Tribolium castaneum: one gene and its partners. The protein of the gene in region 1 purifies or fractionates together with the protein of each later gene. This does not show direct contact. Links are inferred from orthologs where the notes say so. Each region holds a gene or a part of one and is shown on either strand. Other genes may lie near its edges. The genes, in order: Neurl4, Ube3a and Cep97.

Region 1 (3,121 bases):
TGACGACGTACATGTGGGGCAGGGGGTAGATTTTGCAGTCACCTTTCGGTTCGATTCGTTTAGTGCAGGCAAGAGCATTCCTGCCGTTGATGTTCATGGCACACGAGCCGCACACACCCTCACGACAGGATCGGCGGAAAGTTATAGTCGAGTCTTGCTCTCGTTTTATTTTCAGCAAGGCGTCAAGGATCATTGGGCCACAACTGGAACCACAAATTAATGAAATTGTTTTTGCAAACTGCCAAGTACTCGTTAAGATCAATCGTGTATTTCTGCATGTGCGGCTTCTTCTTACTTTCTTTCGTGAAGCGATAAATTGAGAAATCCTTCAAGCGAGGACTTTTGGGGGCAGGGGGAGCACTCTTTTCTGCCGGCTTTTTTTGAGCTTGTTTGAAGTTATGTGCGGAAGTTGTAACAAATCGGGCGCCAAAATGCCCCCCATAATTTTTCAAAATTACTTTGCCGATTTTTGACATTTGGAGTTCGTTTAGAGACGTCAAAATATTGCCATTGTATTTTTTAGACTTCTAGTTTTTTATCAAGGATTGAAAAAAAGCCAATCATTGTGGTCAACATGTTTTATTCGGTCCGTAAACAAACTTAACGTATACTACAGTGCCGTGTGTCTTGGATAAAATCTGCTTGTTGTAAATAAATACATCGGTAACCTATTCTAAAATTAGTTTGATGACGAATTTGGGAAAAATAATATCACATCTTCGACTTGTTCCAATCATCAGACTAAATTCGTTAACATAATCACAGCTCGACAAAAAAAATTCCGAATGTTTAATTGCACACACCAATCGCTACACATTTAATTACATTCAATTTGAATCAAAAGCGAATGTAGAACAATTGCTCCGGTTTCTTTGGTGCTCCATTCGGGTGGATCCCTCGATACGGAGTAGGCGCTCGGTTTGACTAACAATTGAAAAGCGGCATGGACCACTCGATTGTTTGTCTTGTACCCTGAAGTCTTGCAGTTTTGTAAGGTTGGGTAAAAAACGACTTGGACATCGTCTTCTTTCTGTGCCACTAGATTACACCACTGGGCCTGGCCTTTGGTCAGCGGCTGCCCTTTGTCGAGTATACAACGCACCGCCCCCACCTTACACACGTAGAAGGCCGTGTGCCACTTATCGGTCGCTGTATTGGCTGAATTTTTCAGAGGAAATTTCACCCAACCCAGGAGAGAGTTATCTTTCTCGCCTTTTATGCAAGTCGAGCAGTGGCAGATCGGGTCGTCTGACGTAAAATAATTATCTATGAGAAAAAAAAATCGTATGGGATTAAATTACGTAAGTGGGCGAACCTGGCAAAAGGAGGCGTTTCTTAAACGTGAGACACTCGTCCCTGTAGGAACAAATCAGCGATTTGATTGGACTAGGCGGTGAGGGACGCGACACGCCCCCTGACGATGTTAGACTAGTACTTGCTGAGGGTATGGGTAAAGTCAGTCGCTCCTTTTCGCAACTTTCAAGGTCCGCCTTTTCGTAATCAGTGACCGAATTTTCGGCCACCTCTTGCGCAACATCATTCAAGATTTTAATCTGCAATCAATTGCTTCACCACGAATCAACAAACGCACCTTTACCTGTTGGCACTGCCCGTAGAGATCAAAAACAGCGTAAATGGCTTGCCCCGTTTGAAAAACAAAAGACAAAGCTTCCTCCTCAATCCCATTCACTAACAACTTCAACCCGGAAAGGGTCAACATAACACCCACAGTATCGCCAACTTGTAAATTACTCAAACGTTGGCCGAAGTTCGAACGTGACTTGACCCCGTTCACCGAAATCCAATCGTTTGCGACAATGCAACACGGTGCTTTGAACGCCAGTGCATTGACAGGTAGATTCAAACGTTCAGGTGGTCCCGAAACCACGCCCACGATAATCGACGATTGCCATCGCGTCTCCAGTTGGTCGATTATGATCTGGACCTTTGAGCTGATCTCGAGGGCGGGCTGAGCGATCACCACGCCCTGATTATATGAAGCGACACGTCTCGCAGTCGTACGACCCTCAACAATCTCGATATTTCGTCCGTGGTTGTCGTGAAATTCGTAAATTGTTGACACGTCCGGATCTCTGACCAGTTCGATTTGTTCTTGGTTGCAAAGTTCGAGACTGTCTTGCAACCGTGCGCTGTTTAGGGACCACAAGGGTGACTTGTGACTGGTCACGGCGACGGCATTACACGACCCTTTCAGGTCTACAACCACGTATAAAGTCTCAGGGAGAGGGGGCAAACACAAGTTTAATTCTTCACTGTTTATGAAAATTTTTAAAGCGCCATCGAGCGTTCGGAGTAACCCGATTCGGTCCCCGACGTTCAGCCAATGCAAGCTCGGAGTAAATAACTGAATTGTTTTGTTTCTAAATCTGAGTTCGTTCCCGGTGATGTAACAACATTGTTCGAAGATATTAATGTTGGATTTCCCGGGAGGTGTTTCCGACACGCCTATGACTATACTTCCGGCCAAATGCTCGACCAATGAAACTATAGTGACCTCGAATAGCTCCTCCCTTTCGAGCGTTGTGGCGCTACATACCACCGCCCCGGTTAAATCTTTCGTGCGTTTGGCCAATCGGCCACCGTCACTCAAACACACGCCTTTGCCGTGACAATCAGAGAAGATATGTAGATCGGTTTGAACCGCCGGTTGGACTACACTAACCGCTTGCAAACTAATGGAAGTGTCCGACCGGGGACAGTTATCTAAATTTGTGGGAATAGGAACAAGTGGGGAGACACAAGGAATGCTAACTTGGGCACATTGCCCGTAGAGATCGACAACGGCATATACCGTACTGTGGGGGACAATACAGGCGGGTCCTTGGGGGACACCGTCTCTGTAAAACTCCAAAGTTTTGTCGCTTGAACGCACGACTCCAATTCGAACGCCAGCGTCGAGAGTGTCCAAGTCGCAGGGGTAGTTGTTTTTGACCGTGGTGCCATTTTCCATAATGGAGGATCCGCTGAGCATCCAGGTGTCGCGACAGAGGTCGGTGGCGGTGCCCGGAAGCTCGATATCGTCGGGGCGAACGGCGGTCACACCTTTAGGACGATTTATTACTTACTGGGTAATAATGTCGGCCGTACTGACCTAATTCGA
Region 2 (3,758 bases), on another chromosome or scaffold:
GTAATGATTGGTTTTATCTCTTTTTTATACATTTTTTTACATAACTAGAACTATCATTAAAAAGCAGTTTTTTTCTGATCTCAAAAACTAATAACCTCACGTAGAAATCTGCGTTTGCAAAAATGCTTTATTAATTTTTCTGTGCATGTGAATTATTTCGGAATTTTTTTACAATTCCATACAATAAAATTATTATCATTGAACTAAAAATAGGTACATATTAATACTAGTATTAATAAAACTAAAAATATGAAAACATTAATTAACCAAAATGTTATTCTAAAACAAACCTTGCTTAAATATTTTGCACAAAAAATTTTGAAAAAAATCTACATACCTACATTAAGAAGAAAATTGCTAAACTCTGGTGATTACTACGAGTAATTTTTATTTGTTTTGCCGACTTGTTCGATCCTTTTCAACATATTCCGAGAAAATCTTAGGTATTTCAAACAATGTAATTCCAGAAAAATTGGAATTCAAGGTTATTTGACATTATTTGCTTCTTGCTGGGCTTTCTCAATCTCTATCATCAGAAATCTTCATGACATCATAACAAAATAATTTTTTTACCGAAACTAAATTAAAATTTAACCTATTGTTTTCCAAAGAGAATAACAGATTTTGTGGTGTTCCAAACTTTTGATCATTTATCCGTTTTTGAGCAAGGAACATATAAAAATTACTAACAAATAAACACTACTTCAAAAAGAAAAAAAAACACTGATGTTTAATGCATTACTAAATTCAGTTCAAAAAAATAATAGGATAATTCTGTGTATGAATAGTACAAGGATACAGAAACATCGTGTTTCACATCTTCCTGTCTTCAGTTGATCGAGGTTTATTTTGCCCTCTTTTCCGCTTACCCCGTAGTTGACTGTTGAAGATTCTCGGCGGCAAAATTTGTCAAAGTAAAATCAATATTCGAATTCGTTAAAAACTATTAAAAAATTTATTTGTTTTTTGAACGCATTCTGTTCGTACCACCACCGTGCATTTTTCCCGTACACGTTTTTTAAAATATTATGAATATTTGTTTAAAATTTTAATAAAAAAAAATATCAATTTTTTTTCAAAAAAGTGTTATATTGTCTCAAATTCCAATTATTTAAAAGACTCAATTCAAATAAATTTCATTACTACTTGTCTTTGTCGCACATTTCTATTTGCCTCTTGTAACTGTTTTTCTAAATTTTAAATCTAATACATTTTCCAAGTGAAAATTAAAAGTAGTCTACTTTAAAATCGATTTGTAGATCAACATCAAAAGGAAATGTAAGTAAAAAATTTATTTTTAATTATTTTAAAGACTTGAGACAATCGCCCAACATTAATGATTTAAAAAGACAAAAATGACACCATTTTTGATCCAATTTATTAACTTTTTTTTTTCAAAACGGTATAGAAAAAATTCGCACAAACTGCGTTTTAACTCAATCATGTACTTATTTAAACTTAAAAAATCAAAAATTCCTCCATTTCTTTACAAATTTTGAGATTTTTCGATTAATTTACAGCAAAACAGTGATTTTGAGATAATTTGGAAATAACTGCGTTTCTGAAATACAGGGTAAAACGCCTTGAAAAAGGCAAAATCCCTCCTAAAATGATCGGAAAAAAAAATATTTTTTTTAGCTTAGGGTCGGCGTATGTTTTTATTAAATTTGGCGAAATAACTAAATATATAAAAGTAAATAATTTTTCGACTTTTCATTCCGTTCCAACAAAGTTTTGAGTGTTTACAAGTTTAAGTGCTTGAAACAAAAAATTCTCAACACATTTTTTGGCAAATATTAATAACATTTTTGAGATAAAATTTACTTGTTATACCAGTACAGCTGCGTTACCAACCCTTAATAAGCGTCATTTTGAAACGCATAAAGTTCTTAGAACAGAAAAAAATAAAGAATTAAGCTCAACTTTCAAAGACACCATCGGAATTCAGAGAGGTTTAAGAAGACGTTGGACAAAAATACGACCGTGTTGTGGATACTTACCCATTTTATTGTTAGTCCTCTGTATTTTGTTAGGGTGTCTCTCGCACAAAATCGCTTCTTGAGAGAAGAGCTGAATGGCTTGCGCAGCCGCCTCGTCTGGCGTGAGTGGCTTGAGCTGAAACTGGCTTGTAGCTTCTACTTTTAAAATATAAGGGGGCTACCTGTCCGCTGGAGGCGCAGTACTTGTTCTTGCAGGCGGGGTTCCCACAACCGTCGGTCAATTGGTAGAAATATCGTTCAATCAGCTTGCGGGCAGCAGCACGTTTCATCTCGTCCTCCTTATTGTCAGGGGTAGAGGTTTCGTTGTTGGTGCTAGACGAAGCCTCTTGGTTTATCCTGCAAGCAGTTTTTCAGCTATAAGGGGGCACGATTTGGATGACATTCAAATTTGACATTAGGAACATAACCTCAAAACAGATCGGGAAAGAGCTAGGATTAAGGGGGTACCTTGAAGCGTCGTCTTGGTCAGTTGGTGGGTCTGAAGAGCTCATAGAATTTTCTTGTGTAAATAAATAAACGCTAAAACACTAGAAAAATAAAAGATACAAAAGGTGGCGCAAGGACTTTAGCACATGGGGTCCCACATTGAGGAACGGCGAGAGAACTTTGAAATACTTTGTCGTAAAATTTAAAACGGATATTTTGTTTGTTTTTACTTGAGGCTCGAAGATTTTACGACATTGCTAATGATTGCTCTGTCATTTCGAGTTGGGGACTTTCGAGCGCACCTGGTGTCGAGACTGGAAGTGTGGTCACACTGATTGTTTACAAATTTCAAATCTTCCTGCCACGAAAAATAATTGTTATTTACTCGGTTATTTATTGTACAACACGATAAAATTTTATTCCATCCTCCAGTATTTCGATTGAATTACTCAGTTATTTTGATTAACAATTTTAAACATCAAAAAATTCAAAAAAACGTAGAAAACACAAAAACAAATGTTGGGAACAATATTTCCATAGACGATAAGATTTCGTTTTACCATGAAGTCGCAGTGAAAAAAATGCAATTTTATCATATAGGGTAGAAAAAATATTTATAGTATTTTAGAACAAACCTGAAAATGAATTGTACAAAAATAGAATAATTGTCAAATACCACTAAACAGCAAATTAGTTTATCATAATTAAGATTAATAAAAATAATGCTAGAATTAAATAAATAATAATGATCAATTTTCATTTCTGAGTGCCGACAAATGAACATTGGAGGCTTCATACGCCACTATAATAAGCTTTCAACTTTACCTCTTGTCTTGTTACCTCTAACAAAATTACCAACACTAACAAATTTATACAAAATCGATTTATCTGATGCAGCTTTGATCTTTTCGAATTTGTTTACGTACGTATCAGTCGATTGTTGGCTACCTGATCAGTAACAAGCTCTAAAATGTTTTCAAGGCAGAAACTTGTCCTGGCATTGCTTTGTATTTTTATTTTCAGTTTCCAACAAGTGAGTGATAAAAGTTAGTTGGTAGCAAAGTTAGTTATTAGTTTCGAAAATATAAATTTTACCGAGCAAAGTATGTGTGGCTACTAGTTAAAATAATTATTTGCTTGCAGGTTTCACCGAAAAGTATTATCGACAAAATAATGATAAATTTCTGTGAGAAATATGGACGACTTTCCAACTCTGAATCGGGAAAGCTTCCGGATAGTGAAATTACTTTGAAGGAGAACAGTGTTCCAGATCCAGCTATCCTTCTGTTCATGTTCACTGGATTAACGCAAGTGATGTTTCAATAAGTATTA
Region 3 (3,758 bases), on another chromosome or scaffold:
TGCCAAAGTTAACACAAGGGTTATTAGCGATGGAAATATTTTGTAGATTAACAAGATGAACAAGCTGAGAAATTTCATTCAAATCCTCAATGTTATTATTAGCCAAAGTCAGGGTTATTAAACTAGTAGGCAGGAAACGATCACTCTGTCTAAGATGATTAATTTTGTTATTGTGTAGAAAAAGCTCCTAAAATCAAACAATCACAACAAAATTTCCCGAAAGAGGGCGCTAGGTTCAACAATTAGCATGGTTACATGTATCTGATCACCATGCTAACGAGAGAAGATGGCGCCAAAAGAAAATTTCACACAGAGACAAGGTAATATAAATTTACAATACTTTCTGAAACAACAGCAAATCGAATAGATTTTTTAAATACATTTTATACGCTTTCTCAAAACTATAAAAACGCCAACGTCGCATTTTCTCTCAAAATTAGTTATTATAGATTATTTATAGTAGAATTTTGCAACAGCGCATTTGCATTTTTTGAATGAAATGGAGCACAAATTGAGAGTTTCTCAAAGTGTGTCGTTGGGATTTAGTTTAACACAGAATTCTTTTTCTTATACAGAAACTTTCAATTTGTACTTCATTTTTCTCTCCAAAAAATACAAATGCGCGGTTGCAATTTTACTATGAGCCGAAATGGAATACACACGGTGATTCAAAAGTCTCGAATCGTCTCTTGGGCAGCTATAAAAAACATCAGAGTCAAAGTTCCTATGGCAAAAAATTGTGTGAACCTTTTTTCACGCTATATATCGTAGCTTTCCAAAGTTAGGTTTTTAGATTTGAGGTTTTCAGGTCAAATTGTTTTTAATTTATTTAGCGAAAACGACAAATCATGCAATCATTAAACGGACATCTGTTAAAAAATCACCAATCAGCGATATTCCAATCATTTAATACACGTAAATTTGGCAAATTATATAATAATTTAAATCTGACATGACTAAAAACAAAAGAACAACAATTAAAATAGCTGCTAAGGAAAACAAATACAAAAATATATTAAAAATTAAATGGCAAGTTGCTTGGAAAAAATGGACTTTCTTTACTGAACGACGCATATCACCATACGAGAGTTGGTTGGATACGTTTGAATCACGCTGTAAGTATAGCAAAAATAATTTCATTATTGTATTGTCTTCCCATTTATGAAATTCTTCAGTTAGATGATTTAGAAGTACGATGAGTTTAACATTCAACGCTGAATGTTTTTTTTAACCTTTCTTTCCTCCTGTTAATTTTAACTGTTCGTATTTTTTAAATTTGAACATAAGGCCACTGAAAAATAAGTACACACCAGTTGATAAGAAGGGCAGTATGTACCTCTTGTTGCTTATCTAGAGTGAGAAAGCTGCCAGTCTATCTTACCTTATCTCTGCACCGCACGAAATTTCCCGAAAGAGGGTGCCACGTTCTACAATTATCATGGTTACGATACGGTAACCATGGTAACAACACAATATGGCGCCACATTTAAGAGAAACTCAATTATCAAGCAAGCTATGAACTAACCTTTAAATCTTTCAAGAATGCTAAATCATTGATGTGCGTAATGTTATTCTCCGACAAATCTAAATGCTCTAAATTCGTGTTAGTATTGAGATGTTCAATAGTTTTTATACTATTCCCAGCCAAGCAAAGCCACTTTAAATTAACCAGATCCTTGAGCCCCTCGATTGTGAGTATTCCGTTATGAGCGAGATTCAAAGTGTGCAGAGAATGGAGGCGACATACGCCATACATGCGCAACAATTGATTGCGCACTGCTGACAGCTACAAGGGGGCCCTTAAAACGTCGCGCACTTAAAGCTACAATTTTACCTTCTGTAGCCGAAACAACGAGTCGATGTTATCCAAACGTTGCAGTTCGTTATCGTCGAGTATCAATGTTGTTATCACTTGCGATTCCTGAGGCGAGAATTTGGCGAGTTTTTTGAGCTTCTTGTTCGACAAATCTGATATTTCCTCTGAAACGGCAAATCACATTGAAAATTCACTACAAATCCATTTACTTACCCATTTATATTTAACTTATACGCATTTTTTTATTTGCTAAATATTATTGACAGGTAGGTGATGGCGCTAATAGAAGGACGGCGATGATCAGCTGATTATTAAATTGTTCCACATTTTAAAATTGTGAGCAGGAATCGTTGTGTTCCTTTCACTTATAGAAGTTTAACTTATTGGTTAGAAAATGTAAGTGCATGTGTTGGATTATATTCCATATAAACAATAACGATCACGTCCTATGGTTAACTTAATTAAAAACGTTCAAGTCTAAAGCCTGTCATCGTCAGAAAAATCAATAACAGTTCAGCCTGCTTTGGTTGATTTCGCTCGATTTGAGAAACATTCCGTCAAAAATAAGTCAAAAATTATATGTTTGCTAAGATGATGCTCTGTTACCTTTTTAAGCCCGTTTGTGAACTAGGATTTCAAGTTTCTTTTAGGACACTGCTGGAATAGACAGACATTCAAAAAAATTTCAGATTAGTTGAATATTACTTTACTTTTAGTTTTGCAAAGATTGTGTTTTTTAATGTTAAAGCACGTTTTTGAAGTTATAGCTACATCTGTTTTTATATGAATGCGGTATCGTAGTAGGTATTAAAAGATTGCCGCTTCTTTCCAGAAAAAACGAACAATGCTCGTATATGATAACATTGGTCAAATTGGTTTTACTGATTGCCTGAGTAGATAAAAATTTGTACTTTTCAGAAATTTCTTAAAAATAAAATAATTAAATGCAGAAAATTTAAATTCCAAAACCACATGAGATCCTGCACTCTTTTATATACAGTCCGTATAATACATTATTTTGGACAGAATTTGTTAGAATTCACAAAAGGATTATAAAATTGGATCTAAACAATTTCAAGCTGGTTCATTCGTTTTGTGAAGAAAAGACTATTTTATTTATTTTTGGTTTACTTGTTCAAAATTTTTAAAAATAATTCGTCAGAGATGGTGCCGTTTAAATTAAATTCTCAGTTTTTATTGACTAAAAATTACCGAATAAAATGAATGATTGATTTATTTTGGTTTGTTGTTCAGTTGTACTGTTCTGATAATGAACGCATCTGTTTTTCAGTTTTACGAGCTCCCTTATCAATTGACAGCTGACATGACGCATAATAGTTGCCAACCTTGCGCTGGTAAAAATCAATTTTGCTGTTAATTTATCTCCGAAATCAATACAACACGTGCCCCCATATTGGGGCTTTTTATGCATTATTATACCGTCGTTTAAACTGTGTACGTGTTGTGTCTTGCACCGTGCTTAAGTAAATGTTAATGATTTGGGGTAAGTTGGCAGTAGTGACACCTAATGAATATGGAGTTATTTGCAAACGAAGAAAATGACTTGGTTTTCTCAAATGATTAAAGTTTATTGATAGAAAAACGGTGTAAAGTACGAATAGTGCAACGCATGTTTCGTTTCAGTGCAATAACATTCGAAACGTAAAGTGTACAATTGTTGACATTTGTAATTTGGTTGGAGAAGGTGGAAGAAAAATCTCTTGGTCTTGAAAAAGTGGCTTGAATTGGTCAAACTGGAGCGTTTACCGGAATATCTCCGCGATACCGTGGATTGGTTCATGGGGTGAGTAATACCACTATTAACTAGCTAAATCTGGAAATTGCTTGTTTCAATCGGGGTGCAATGTTTTTACGGTCAGAGTTTTAATTAAAAAACTCAGCGTTTATTTGGTTTCATGTTTTATGACGTTGAATCCTATTA

What was found.
Region 2: the proteins of Neurl4 (region 1) and Ube3a purify together in Homo sapiens (affinity purification with mass spectrometry; 3 studies listed by BioGRID and IntAct, with this or other methods). This does not show direct contact. The link is inferred for Tribolium castaneum from reciprocal best matches to the Homo sapiens genes NEURL4 and UBE3A.
Region 3: the proteins of Neurl4 (region 1) and Cep97 purify together in Homo sapiens (affinity purification with western blotting; 4 studies listed by BioGRID and IntAct, with this or other methods). This does not show direct contact. The link is inferred for Tribolium castaneum from reciprocal best matches to the Homo sapiens genes NEURL4 and CEP97.

Annotation. Positions count from the first base shown.
Region 1 is NC_087398.1:5,348,968-5,352,088, forward strand, and holds the end of Neurl4 (neuralized-like protein 4), read right to left. Parts: coding exon 3,113-3,121; intron 3,064-3,112; coding exon 1,598-3,063; intron 1,554-1,597; coding exon 1,316-1,553; intron 1,267-1,315; coding exon 818-1,266; 3' UTR 564-817; downstream 1-563. Other genes in the region: succinate dehydrogenase [ubiquinone] iron-sulfur subunit, read right to left, coding at 1-203, 250-476. UniProt on the Homo sapiens protein: Promotes CCP110 ubiquitination and proteasome-dependent degradation. By counteracting accumulation of CP110, maintains normal centriolar homeostasis and preventing formation of ectopic microtubular organizing centers.
Region 2 is NC_087400.1:8,646,347-8,650,104, forward strand, and holds the start of Ube3a (ubiquitin-protein ligase E3A), read right to left. Parts: upstream 2,743-3,758; 5' UTR 2,492-2,742; coding exon 2,448-2,491; intron 2,337-2,447; coding exon 2,162-2,336; intron 2,116-2,161; coding exon 2,001-2,115; intron 1-2,000. UniProt on the Homo sapiens protein: E3 ubiquitin-protein ligase which accepts ubiquitin from an E2 ubiquitin-conjugating enzyme in the form of a thioester and transfers it to its substrates.
Region 3 is NC_087402.1:12,400,036-12,403,793, forward strand, and holds the start of Cep97 (centrosomal protein of 97 kDa), read right to left. Parts: upstream 2,224-3,758; 5' UTR 2,125-2,223; exon of another isoform or gene 2,059-2,124; 5' UTR 2,034-2,058; coding exon 2,030-2,033; intron 1,981-2,029; coding exon 1,835-1,980; intron 1,787-1,834; coding exon 1,526-1,786; intron 188-1,525; coding exon 1-187. UniProt on the Homo sapiens protein: Acts as a key negative regulator of ciliogenesis in collaboration with CCP110 by capping the mother centriole thereby preventing cilia formation. Required for recruitment of CCP110 to the centrosome.